Drosophila melanogaster: one gene and its partners. Changing the gene in region 1 together with any one later gene gives a genetic interaction. Each region holds a gene or a part of one and is shown in the gene's direction. Other genes may lie near its edges. The genes, in order: gcm, lilli and mid.

The links.
Region 2: of gcm (region 1) and lilli, changing one suppresses a phenotype caused by changing the other (phenotypic suppression), as found in Drosophila melanogaster (one study listed by BioGRID).
Region 3: of gcm (region 1) and mid, changing one suppresses a phenotype caused by changing the other (phenotypic suppression), as found in Drosophila melanogaster (one study listed by BioGRID).

Annotation. Positions count from the first base shown.
Region 1 is NT_033779.5:9,579,648-9,583,375, reverse strand, and holds the start of gcm (glial cells missing), read left to right. Parts: upstream 1-1,630; 5' UTR 1,631-1,783; coding exon 1,784-2,181; intron 2,182-2,256; coding exon 2,257-3,373; 3' UTR 3,374-3,728. UniProt on the Drosophila melanogaster protein: Transcription factor that induces gliogenesis. It determines the choice between glial and neuronal fates. Also has a role in the differentiation of the plasmatocyte/macrophage lineage of hemocytes.
Region 2 is NT_033779.5:2,883,759-2,887,528, forward strand, and holds the start of lilli (lilliputian), read left to right. Parts: upstream 1-2,170; 5' UTR 2,171-2,820; intron 2,821-3,770. Other genes in the region: NTPase, read right to left, coding at 1,235-1,264. UniProt on the Drosophila melanogaster protein: Has a role in transcriptional regulation. Acts in parallel with the Ras/MAPK and the PI3K/PKB pathways in the control of cell identity and cellular growth.
Region 3 is NT_033779.5:5,459,668-5,463,437, forward strand, and holds the start of mid (midline), read left to right. Parts: upstream 1-1,971; 5' UTR 1,972-2,250; coding exon 2,251-2,437; intron 2,438-3,770.

The DNA of each region.
Region 1 (3,728 bases):
ACTGAGTTTCATTGGGAAAGAAAAGAGTTCTGTTCTCCACTGGCCCCCGCAGAGAAAGTGTCAAATAAATTTGATTGCCAAGTGATGTCTCGTAATTGAAACGGAACAGTTAATTCCGGGCATCATTAAGGCGACACACCCACCTTGAGTGCGGGAATCTGGGACCAGGTAGGATGTGCTTCCCCAGCACAGCCTCATAATATGCCACGTCATGACTTTCTTCTGTGTCAACGCCCCTCGAGTCCCGGTCGGAGCACCCTTTCCCATTGTCCGCCGTAATCCTTTGAGTTCCTATCGCGTGCTACGATCCTGATCTTTGGGCGACTCCTTGGCAGAAAGGCGCCGCGGGTTGCTCGCTCAGTTCGTGTCATAATTGCATGGCATTTGGTCTGTCGTGGAAGTGTGAAAATTATGGAGTTTCCTCACCCTTTCGTCATCTTAATGATTATGTTTGTTTCGTTTATCTCTGACTTGAGATCGCCAAGGGGCCCAAGGAATTTGTTTGGCAAACTTTGCTTCATTCATATGCGTGAGTTATGGCATTTGCCTTTGGGTTTGTAGGGGAGGTTTTCCAATATGGGATTTCTTCTTTTTGATTTCCGTTTTTTTGCGTGCTAAATTGTGTTTTACGATTATGAGATCCCTGATTTCATCTTGAAGATATCGGCAGGAGCTCGACATTTCGGTTTCTTTTTTTGCAAACGTTTATTTCTTTATCGATTTTGAGATCGTGAGAAGTAGTTCCGTTAGCTATACCGTTGCCTTACCAAATTCTATAATAGTGACTATATATAGTGGTAATATTTCTATATTTCTGTGAGTCATTTCCATTAAAATTTACGTTTGATTTTGAAATTTTTTTACAGAATAATTTCTACCTCTGAAGTTAAGTAGATTTAGCAGCTTTAATGTCCGCATTAAAAAAGTCTTAAAGCCTTGAACTAAATTACTTTCCGTGCTTCGTTGGAACCATCTCCATTTTGTTCGTAACTCTGCTTGCCCTCCAACCATTTCACTTTGCTCCCCATTTCGACATCCACATCCAGTTCGAAAGTAAATAGGCCCGACCACTGGCATCTGCCAGTGACTGTCGCCAGGTGTACCCATCAGAACCCATGCCATACAGCACATCCCCATCCACACACAGCCCCATCCCCATCTCCATTTCCATTACTGATGTTGTAAACTTTTTTTCTGAACTTAATTAGCTTTGACTGGGGTTGGGGCCGTGTTCTTTGCCATCGAGTGCCTCAAACCCCTGGTTCTCATATCGTACAATTACCCAGTGGAGCGCGTGCTGCAACCGCAGGTGCTAGAGCAGCACAGCACTCGTCTCCCTGCCCAGTTGCCAGTTCCCAGCTCCCAGCTCCCTGTGCTCAAGCTCTCCCAGCTCCCAGTTCCCTATAGAACGAATTCTCCATCTCCAGCTGCTGCTACCACTACTACCAATCAAACCTGCTCGGGAACTCTCCTAATTTCCCAAACTGGAGTGCCGGATAAGGCGGATAAGCCGCACACAAGCGCACCCGAACTGGAAGTCAGCATGGACCAATGGGCGTACCGCTTTGCGACCGAGCAACCCTCGTGCGATTCGACCGCTGGCAACTTAACTGTGCTGCGCAGAGCGGGCCCAGTTAGTCAGCCTTGCGCAGTCGATGCGAACGGACGCGTCGCTCCAGAGAAAAGTTGAGAAGAAGTACACAGTAGTAATAGACTATTGAGAAGGAAAACTATAGTGACCGCGTGTGAACTTGAAACTAACGATTACATAGACACATCAAAAATGGTTTTGAACGGCATGCCTATAACAATGCCAGTACCGATGCCAGTGCCCATGCCTGTGCCCAGTCCTCCGGCCACCAAGTCCCGGGTGGCGATCGACTGGGACATCAACGATTCCAAGATGCCGTCGGTGGGGGAGTTTGACGATTTCAATGACTGGTCCAACGGACATTGCCGGCTCATCTACTCCGTGCAGAGTGATGAGGCCAGGAAACATGCCAGCGGTTGGGCCATGCGAAACACCAACAACCACAACGTGAATATCCTAAAGAAGAGCTGCCTGGGAGTGCTCCTCTGCAGTGCCAAGTGCAAGTTGCCCAATGGAGCCAGTGTGCATCTGAGACCCGCCATTTGCGACAAGGCCAGAAGGAAGCAGCAGGGCAAACAGTGTCCCAATAGGTGGGTTTTTGACTAAACACAAAATCCAAGAATTGTCAAAACTAACTCGGTATTTTTATTTTTTTTTCTTGACAGAAATTGCAATGGTCGCTTGGAAATCCAGGCTTGCCGCGGCCACTGCGGCTATCCAGTGACCCACTTCTGGCGCAGGGACGGAAATGGAATCTATTTCCAGGCCAAGGGCACCCACGATCACCCCAGACCCGAAGCCAAGGGATCCACGGAAGCCAGGCGACTTTTGGCAGGAGGAAGACGTGTGCGAAGTTTGGCCGTAATGTTGGCCAGGGAATCGGCGCTGAGCGACAAGCTGAGTAGCCTGAGACCCACAAAACGGCAGGCCAAGACTCAGTCCATCCAGGAGAGCAAGCGCAGAAGGATGGGTGCTTCCGATGTGCTCGAAACCAAGCAGGAGTTAGTGGTGCCACCCACCACCTACCTGCCCACATCGACGCCCACACATAGCACCAACTTTAATCAATCTCAGGGTTCATATGTCCCAGCAGGACAAGGATCAGTGATCAGTCAGTGGAATAGAGAGATTCACTACGAAACGGAGGATCCATGCTATGCCAATGGAATGTACTCCTACGATATGCTCCACTCACCTCTCTCAGCGCATAGCTCCACGGGCAGTTATTACCAGGAGAACAAACCGCAGCAACTGCAGCACTCACAATACCAGCAGCAACTCTCACCGCAGCAACATGTACCAGTCAGCTATGATCCCAGCCAGCCAATCTCCTCCAGCCTTCAGTGCGGAATGCCTTCGTATGAAATATGCGACGATACGTCCAGTTTGACCAGCAGCTCGGGCTACTGTTCCGAGGATTATGGCTACTACAATGGATATCTACCCAACTCGCTGGACGTGAGCAATGGAAGCCAAAGCCAGAATCTTAGCCAGGATGCAAGTTTCTACACAACCAGCTCGGAGATCTTCAGTGTGTTTGAGTCAACTCTGAATGGCGGAGGGACCAGTGGCGTGGATCTCATCTACGACGAAGCAACCGCCTATCAGCAACATCAGCAACAGGGAACTTTTCCGCATCTCACCAATTATCAACAGGAGCCGCAGGATCAGATGCAGTCCGCCGACTACTACTACAGCAATACGGGAGTGGACAACTCGTGGAACATTCAAATGGACGCGACATATCACCCAGTCAACAGCACGGATCCCATCTATTGCTAGGGGATCGGGATAAGATCTCTCATCGCAACTACTATTACTGAGCCACTCAAGCGTTGTTCTAGTCCCTAGTTGATTGATTTCCATTCATGTTCCCATTGCTTGTTGGTCGTGTATTATTATATATTGAACGTTTCTAGTTTGTACTTTTGTACTTGTTTCCCAGCTATTCCAAAGTTTTAGAGCACGTAAGAGTAATAGTATTCTTAAGCACATAGAGTTTTAAGTCACATTTCCCACCTATTTATGAACTTTTTTGTAGTAATAAACATTTTTGAAAGAAAAACTTAATCGAAGCAGCCTTTTTTTGAGAATTGACACGTGTCAAGCAAGGGAGCTCGTAATCATTGTCAGTATA
Region 2 (3,770 bases), 6.7 Mb from region 1:
TTAAGCAGTAATGGAGTTGACAGGTAGATGGTATATATATCTATATCTATACAATCAAGTACACCCATTAGTTTCGAATACACATACTACTTCCCAATAATTACACTGTTGGCATAAGTGAAACTCATTAAACATTCAGGGTGTGAACTTAACGCATATGTTTCCAGGCGCACGCTACTGCAATCAATAAATCTACTGATAAAAGGCGCCTTTTGTGCCGATCTAGTGACTAAGAAGCCTGCTCCCCATTTATAAAGGGGAATACTTTAATCGGTTCTATAGATAACTCATTTATTTCGAAGCCGAACACTATTTTGCATCAGCTGAAAAGTAAATCTTAAGTCTTAAAGAACCCTAATTGATAAATGTATCTTGAAATATATAAATATGACGCACAAAATGAGTTGAAAGATACAAACATTGAAAGCTGGTAGAAGTGTGCTATCTAGAAAATGCTGATAAGTTTAGACACAGATGTTGTGAAAACAACAAATATCGAGTTAGATACAAAAGTATCTAGTATATATTGTAGTACCGAGTACACGTAGGTACACGAGGGTTAAGGCCACGTTAGCAGCCAGGCACTATCTGCACTCACTTGCAACCGGTTCCGGTTTGCCCGCATCCTGTTCTCCACCCACTTGCGATGCAAATCAGTCGAAACTATGCGATCCAATCGCCCCCGAAATGGGACACTCTATGTGTACCTGTGATCTTTGGGTTCCGATGCGAGAAAGCGATTGCAAAAGTTGTCTAGCGAGATTCGGTCGAAACGGCTGCCAACTGAATCGTTGGACTTTTCTATGCTTTTTTTTTATCAGCCCCCCCTAATGACCTTGCAAATGAGAAAGTTCCTGCTGACTGGTCACCCTAATGCGAATACGAAAATATTTCAAAATAAACCGGCCGGCATTAAGATGTTGATAGAAAACCCACTAGTCATCTCTTTCGTAACTAAAATCAAAATTTGCATAATTGTTAACAAAAGCGTGCTTAGCGGCCATTGCGTATCTATATTTAAATGTCTTGTAAACATACATTTTCAGATACAAATTGGCACAATCGAATAGAATAGAACTTGAAACGATTATTCTGCGAGTCATTTGATGTTTTACTTCCGCGTCAAAAGAGCAGCAATTTGAGGAATTCGCATGTGTGCGTGTGTGTGTGAGAGAGCGCCATGAAATTGGCATTAAATTTGTGCTGTGGATTGCCCTTTTGACCTTTTCCTTACTTTTCTCTTTCGCACATCGGTGTTCGTCATTCTGTCGTCGTTACTTTTCACTTAAATTATGTAAATACGCGAGCGTTTGTTTATTTCGGATCGATTGCTGCCGATCGCCGAGCGGAACGCACTAATGTCGATCTAATCTAATGATGGCCGCGCCCGCCGAATGATAAACTCTGATCAGGAAGCCAACGCGCACGGAATGGCGTCTTGGAATCAACTAAAAACATTTATTTACCACCTGCTCATTTATATGCTGCAGCCCTATCAGCTGTTCGCTGCGGCGCCCACTATCAGCGCATACGGCCACACTGCGGGGGCGGCAGGGATGCCAAAAATTGATGTGGATAACATAGAAATATTTAAAATTGTGAAATTATTCGATTTTGATAAGTATACTTCTTAACGGAATTCTGATAACAGGTGCAGAAATCCAGTGCATAGTACTATAATTGACATATATTAGAGGATTCGTTGTGCCTTAATCCGCTATTTAAATCAATAAGGATTTATCATAGATTCATTCGTAGATTCTTATCATTATTTTGTACCGACAAATAAGATAATTGGATTCAATAGATATTCATTCAAGCTAAGTGTAGATTAGATTATATAGGTATATCATATTTCCCATTAAGATACTTGCCCATTCCAAAATTGGGTTTTCTGGATTAGACATTGAGATAAGAAACCAGTGTTGAAAACCAACACTGAAAACTGCTTATGAATTTTCAAAAACGCTCGGATAAACACATTGCTAGATAAAACTCAGATCGTTAGACAAACCGGTTCCAAAAATCATTCATTAAGTAAGAGAAAATCGAAATTTTTAGCAAATATGCGGTACCGACATTTTCCAGAACTGGACCTATCGTCGCACAGCTGATCGCCCGCCAATCAGCTGGGCGATAGTTGCCGTATCGATAGCCGACCCATCGATAACGATATGTGTATTTTCCTGCTCTCTCTGCACCAACACAAAACACGCAACTAAATTTCGGTTAAAAACCCCTACTAAAAACAATGCAATCGAAACGGAACCATATAAAGTGATTAAATGGCCAACGCGGCGGAGGCGAAATGCGAGCGCAGTGCATTTTCCGGATGAAATCGCGTTTTCGGGGAAACTTACACAAACATTTTTTTCGTAAGCGCTCTCATGTTGTCTCTTTCGCACAGCAGAATTACTAGTTGCTGTGTGTGTGCGTGCGTGCGTTTGTGTGTGCCGTATGCCGTGTGCCAGTGTGTGCGTGCGTGTGAGTGTGAGTGTGAGTGACTTTGACTGCAGTTCGCGTACGTTTTTTATTAATACACCACATAACAACAATCACAACAACAACAAACAGTAATGGAAACTAAACATATTTAATGCGAGGAGACCAGAAATCGTCTAAAACGGCAAGGCTTTATCACCATCGCCACCACCACCAACAGCACAGCAACAACAACAAATTACTACAGCATATATGCTAGTGTGCGTAAACGTATTTGTGTTAAATAATGTTTAAACTGGCATTTCTGATTTCGCACACAAAACAATATTAAGTTGTAGTCACCAGCAGAGAGGAGCAATTGAAGCAAACGAAAAAGAGGTAAGTGCAAAAAGCAGACAATTGTTATAAACAAAATGTGTCAAAAGTTCGTCATGTCGTCGCGCGCTCTCTCTCTCTTTTTTGCTCGTTCTCCCTCTCTCTCTCCGCTCTGTCCTTCTCTCTCCCGCCACGCCGAAAAGAAATTAATTTTGATATTTTTTCCCTGCTTTTTTGTTGCACTCTCTCGCTCTCGCAAACTTTTAATTTTAATTTGCTATGCGCAGCGAATTCGCGCGCAAAGGCAACAAAAAAAGAGGCAATGCAAAGGCAGCAGCAACAACAATACAGGCAAAGTAATAAACGTCAAAATGCCAGACGGACAATTCCTCTCTCATGCGCTCTTTCCGTCGCTGTGTGCGTGCGTGTGTGTGTGTGTGTTTGGGTTTGCTAGCTTTTTGTTTTTATCAATTATTTAGGTAGGTGTTTGCCTTAAAAAGAATAACTGAAACGCAGAAAAATACCAATACTTGTATACTCCAAGTAAAAAAGGGTGAAAGGACACTATCGGCTCAACAAGGAGAATGCAAATGCTATAAGTAGGAGGGGGAGAGAGAGTCACACGCACACACACCTCAAGCAATTCTGATAAGAACAATTGTTATTTGTTTGAAAGCCGACATTCCAATAGTCCACGTCCATTCGCCCAAACGTTGAAAATAATCGACAAACTTAAATACTATTGTGTTTGTTCGCGAACCCAGAGATGCTTTGCCAACTGATGAAATAAATATGGCCAATGCCGTCAGAATAAAGCGAAAATACCATTGTGGTTGGAATTCTCTTAATGTTAACATTGATTACTCCATTTTCTACTTTCTAAACAATGTATTGTATTCAATATTTATATTGATAATATCGAAATAGATAATTGCAGTATTTAATTGTTTTTGTACTTCGAATTAGAAATATGACTTTAATCACGTACGCAACAACCCATGCTTTCTTCCTAA
Region 3 (3,770 bases), 4.1 Mb from region 1:
TATCGAAGAAATTATAAATTGCCGACAAAGCCGAGGGCCAAATACTTGAGATTTCGAGAGGGAAAGGACATAACAAGGAGAAAGTCAAACGAGGACAGTTAGCCGCACTAATTAACAAGCAGAATTGTTTATTTTTACAAGTGCCAAGTGGCCACTTTTTTTTCAGATCGACCGCCCTTTGTTTTCACAACTTGTGTTTTCCTTGGCTTTTGACATTTTGGTGACATACGGGACTGCCACCTAAAAAGACACACATGTAGATGCACAGACAAGGCCAACATATTAGGAACATAGGCTCTTTTTATGAAAGGAAGTGTAAACCTTTTTCTAGAATCAAAGTATGCACTCTACTTTTTAGAACCAGCGTTCTTGTGTCATAAAATTGTATTTAAAGTTATCCCAATCTATAATGCTATCGTCCGTTTTGCTTTTGAATTTGTTAATGCTGATAAAACATTTTATAGCTATCAACTTAACTGCAATTGTAACCAGAACACACACGACGCATCCCTCCCCGTCCACTTTCACCATTTCTCCCAGGGCGAAAGTGTCAAAGTGACATGCCCACTTTGTCGCTACCCGACTTAAAAAATGTCTCAAATTACAAAAATCACACAACAAGACGGTTTGTTCCTCGCACAGGATAAGCGGGATTAGTCAGCTTGTTAGTTAGTTTGGATCTCCGCGTTCCGTTTTTCAGGATCGCAGGATTTCCGTCATGGCAATTGGCAATCCGAGCAATACGTAATGAATGTGACGAACTGTCAGTTGTTTCGAGTTTCCTTGTCGCAGCCGCATTTTCTTTGCATTTTTTAGCGGGTTAATTGGCACTGACAAAGGTCTTGACTTTTGCCTGGGAAACATAACAATTTGTTGACATCTGTAAATATTATGGGGGAATTTTCCAGAGGACTAGCTTCTATCATACAGCGTGTGGAATTGTATATAATTACTAACGGAAAAATATCCCTGTTAACTTTTTGAATCGCCATAATCTAAATTTCATGATCATATCCTCTTGAATATAAAAAAATATAGCTTTACAAATAAAAATGTCTTGACTAATGCTTATAGATATACTATGTTTTCAAATGGACTTCTATAATATGTACTAAGCGAATTGTTTAAAATATGTTCTTCCCTTTACCGAAATAAATTCAAATTGCATATACATTTTAAATAAACTTGTAGTTATTTTCGCACTCTTTATTCATGTTTTTAGAGCACAGAAAAATTTCTCGAGCTCAAACTAATAAATTCCCAACGTCCCATTGCAATAACCTTGACTCAAGGTCCATGTCCTTGCAGATAAATAAGAAAGGAAAAACAACGGGATGCAACTGCAGAAAAAAAACAGAGACATAAAACTCACTCAAAACAGAATTGAGTGAGACACGGAACGTGTTGGAAACGAAATGGAACAGACGGAAGATGGAAGAAAACGTCAGAAGAGGAGATAACAGGAAATGGAATGCGACGACAACGGCGAAAAGTTGTTTAAAAAAAAAGACCAAGAAAAACCGCAAGCAAAACGTTGGCACTTCATAAATGGGCGAGAAAGAGAGGCAAAAATAAAAAGAAAGAGACCTCGCTATGGAGAAATAGAGAGGTGCGAGGGAGAAGGCCAAAAGCGCCGACATTTTTAATTGTAAATGAGTTATGACGCGTTCGTCAGAGAGAGAGGTGAGGCGAAGAAAAGAGAGGGGCGCAAGTTGCTGACAGCGCCGCCTTTCTCTCTGTCGCACGTTCACTCCCCCGCCGATTTTCCAATTGGAAAACGAGAGAGCGAGTGGCGTTTTCACTCAGAGTGTGCGGCTATAGGGCTATCCCGCTTGCACTCGTACTGGCGCGGCTCGCTGTAGGGTGGTCTCGCTTGCACACATAGGGACCATAAGAGGAATAACTGGTTTCCCGAGTTTTGCGCCTGCCGTCGTTTTTGGCTTCTCAGCGGCAACATTTTCCTGACACAATTCAGTTCGTCGTCGCCTGCCTTCCGTTGCGCACACACTCAGTCCGCGAGATTCTCAGTTCGCGTGCGCCAAAGATAAGCAAAAGAAAGCAAGAGAGATATAAAGATACAAGATACTTACACCTTGAAACATACACATACCCCTCGAGTTACCAAAGCTAAAGATGCATCTAGCTTTATAAGTGCCAAGTGTTGAAAAGTGACCAGATACAATACCCCAATACCTTTCCAAGGTATTCCCTAGTTAAAGCCCCATTAAGAACAACATCATACCCTTCAAAATGCTGGTTGGATCTCATCCGTATTTGTGCAACGGGGTGCCCGCCGCCCCTGCAGCACCAAATGCCAGTGGACAGACAACAACAACGGCTAGCAAAAGTGCCGCCGGCTCAGCGACGGACTTTTCCATCGCCGCCATCATGGCTCGCGAAGATGCCTCCAGTCGGGAGTCCTCCATTCGCAGTGCAAGTAAGTTCAGATACATATTGAAAATATCCTTAATAAGAAAGGAATTCTGTGGGAAGCGGCAGAATCATTAATCGGTTGATAGGAACAATTTGTTCTTAAAAATATATTTTTATGCATTAGAAATTTAATGCCTTGAATATTAAGCATTTCGATTATATAGTGATTTTTAAACAAGATTTTTTTAGGCTTAACAGACTTACAGCAAGATTCATTGATGAGATGTAGAATATCTTTAAGATACTTTCATTTCTGTAGTCTCAAATACCATAGGGTACTTTTGTTTAGAACTTCATTTGACAAGCTATAAGTTCCCTAATTCAACAATCTTTAATCATAGTAGGTAGTTGTAACTTTAGATATTCACTTATCTCCTAGCAGTGCTTTCTGTACAAAAACTTACTTAACATACCAGCACACAATAACTAGAAATTGCTAAAACAAAAATGGAATTTTTATACGATTAATTCAAATTAAACGTGATTAACAACTCAACGCCCAAGAAGAGAACCGCAAACTTGACCAGCGAATGCAAACATTATTAGCCACAAGACAATCGCTAATTGATTGCACAACAAATCTATTAAATTACTGTTGTCGCTTTGGGTGCGCAGAGTTCCATTTAATTGCTAATGACAATTAGCAGGCGTTCCGGCCACGTTAAAAAAGAAAAAACTAGTTCTCTCTGGCCGACGGCATTCGCAATTAAGTCGAGCCAAAGATCGCGAATCCAGATATTTGTTAGCAAACACTTGCAGCGCTCTTTTGTGGCCGATATTATGATAATATGCAAATTGTGCACAGCATCTAATCGCGCGGAATTCATATTTAACAAAGGCTGCTAATTATGTTAATTAATTTTCAACAATGTGCTTCATTTTATTAATTTTACGAGGCGCAGAAAATTAGCGACGGCCGAAATCAAAACAAAAACGCTACGAGGTGTTCGTATTTTACGATCTCTTTATCAAATATGCAGCTTTTTTAATTTCATATTTTGTTTTGTTTTTTTTGTTTTCTGTGGTCGCTTTCCGTTTTCCGTTTGCTTACTTTGCATTTTAACACCTACCGTCTGGGCTCACCTGCAAAAAAACCGGGCTGCTTAGTTCTCCCCATCATTTTGTTACCATTTTCGGCTTATGGAAAATGGAAAGCGTATGTGAGAGTTCGCCCATGGATAAGCCCAAAAATATTATTCATCAACTTTTGCGCACACACCTTGAACGAAAGCCCTCCGCTTTTGTTTATGCAATGGAAAAGAGCAATCGCAGCTAGAGTTTCGGGCTGTTTAATTGCCGATTTGTGTTCAGTTTGACAATTAAGCCAGCGGTCGTCG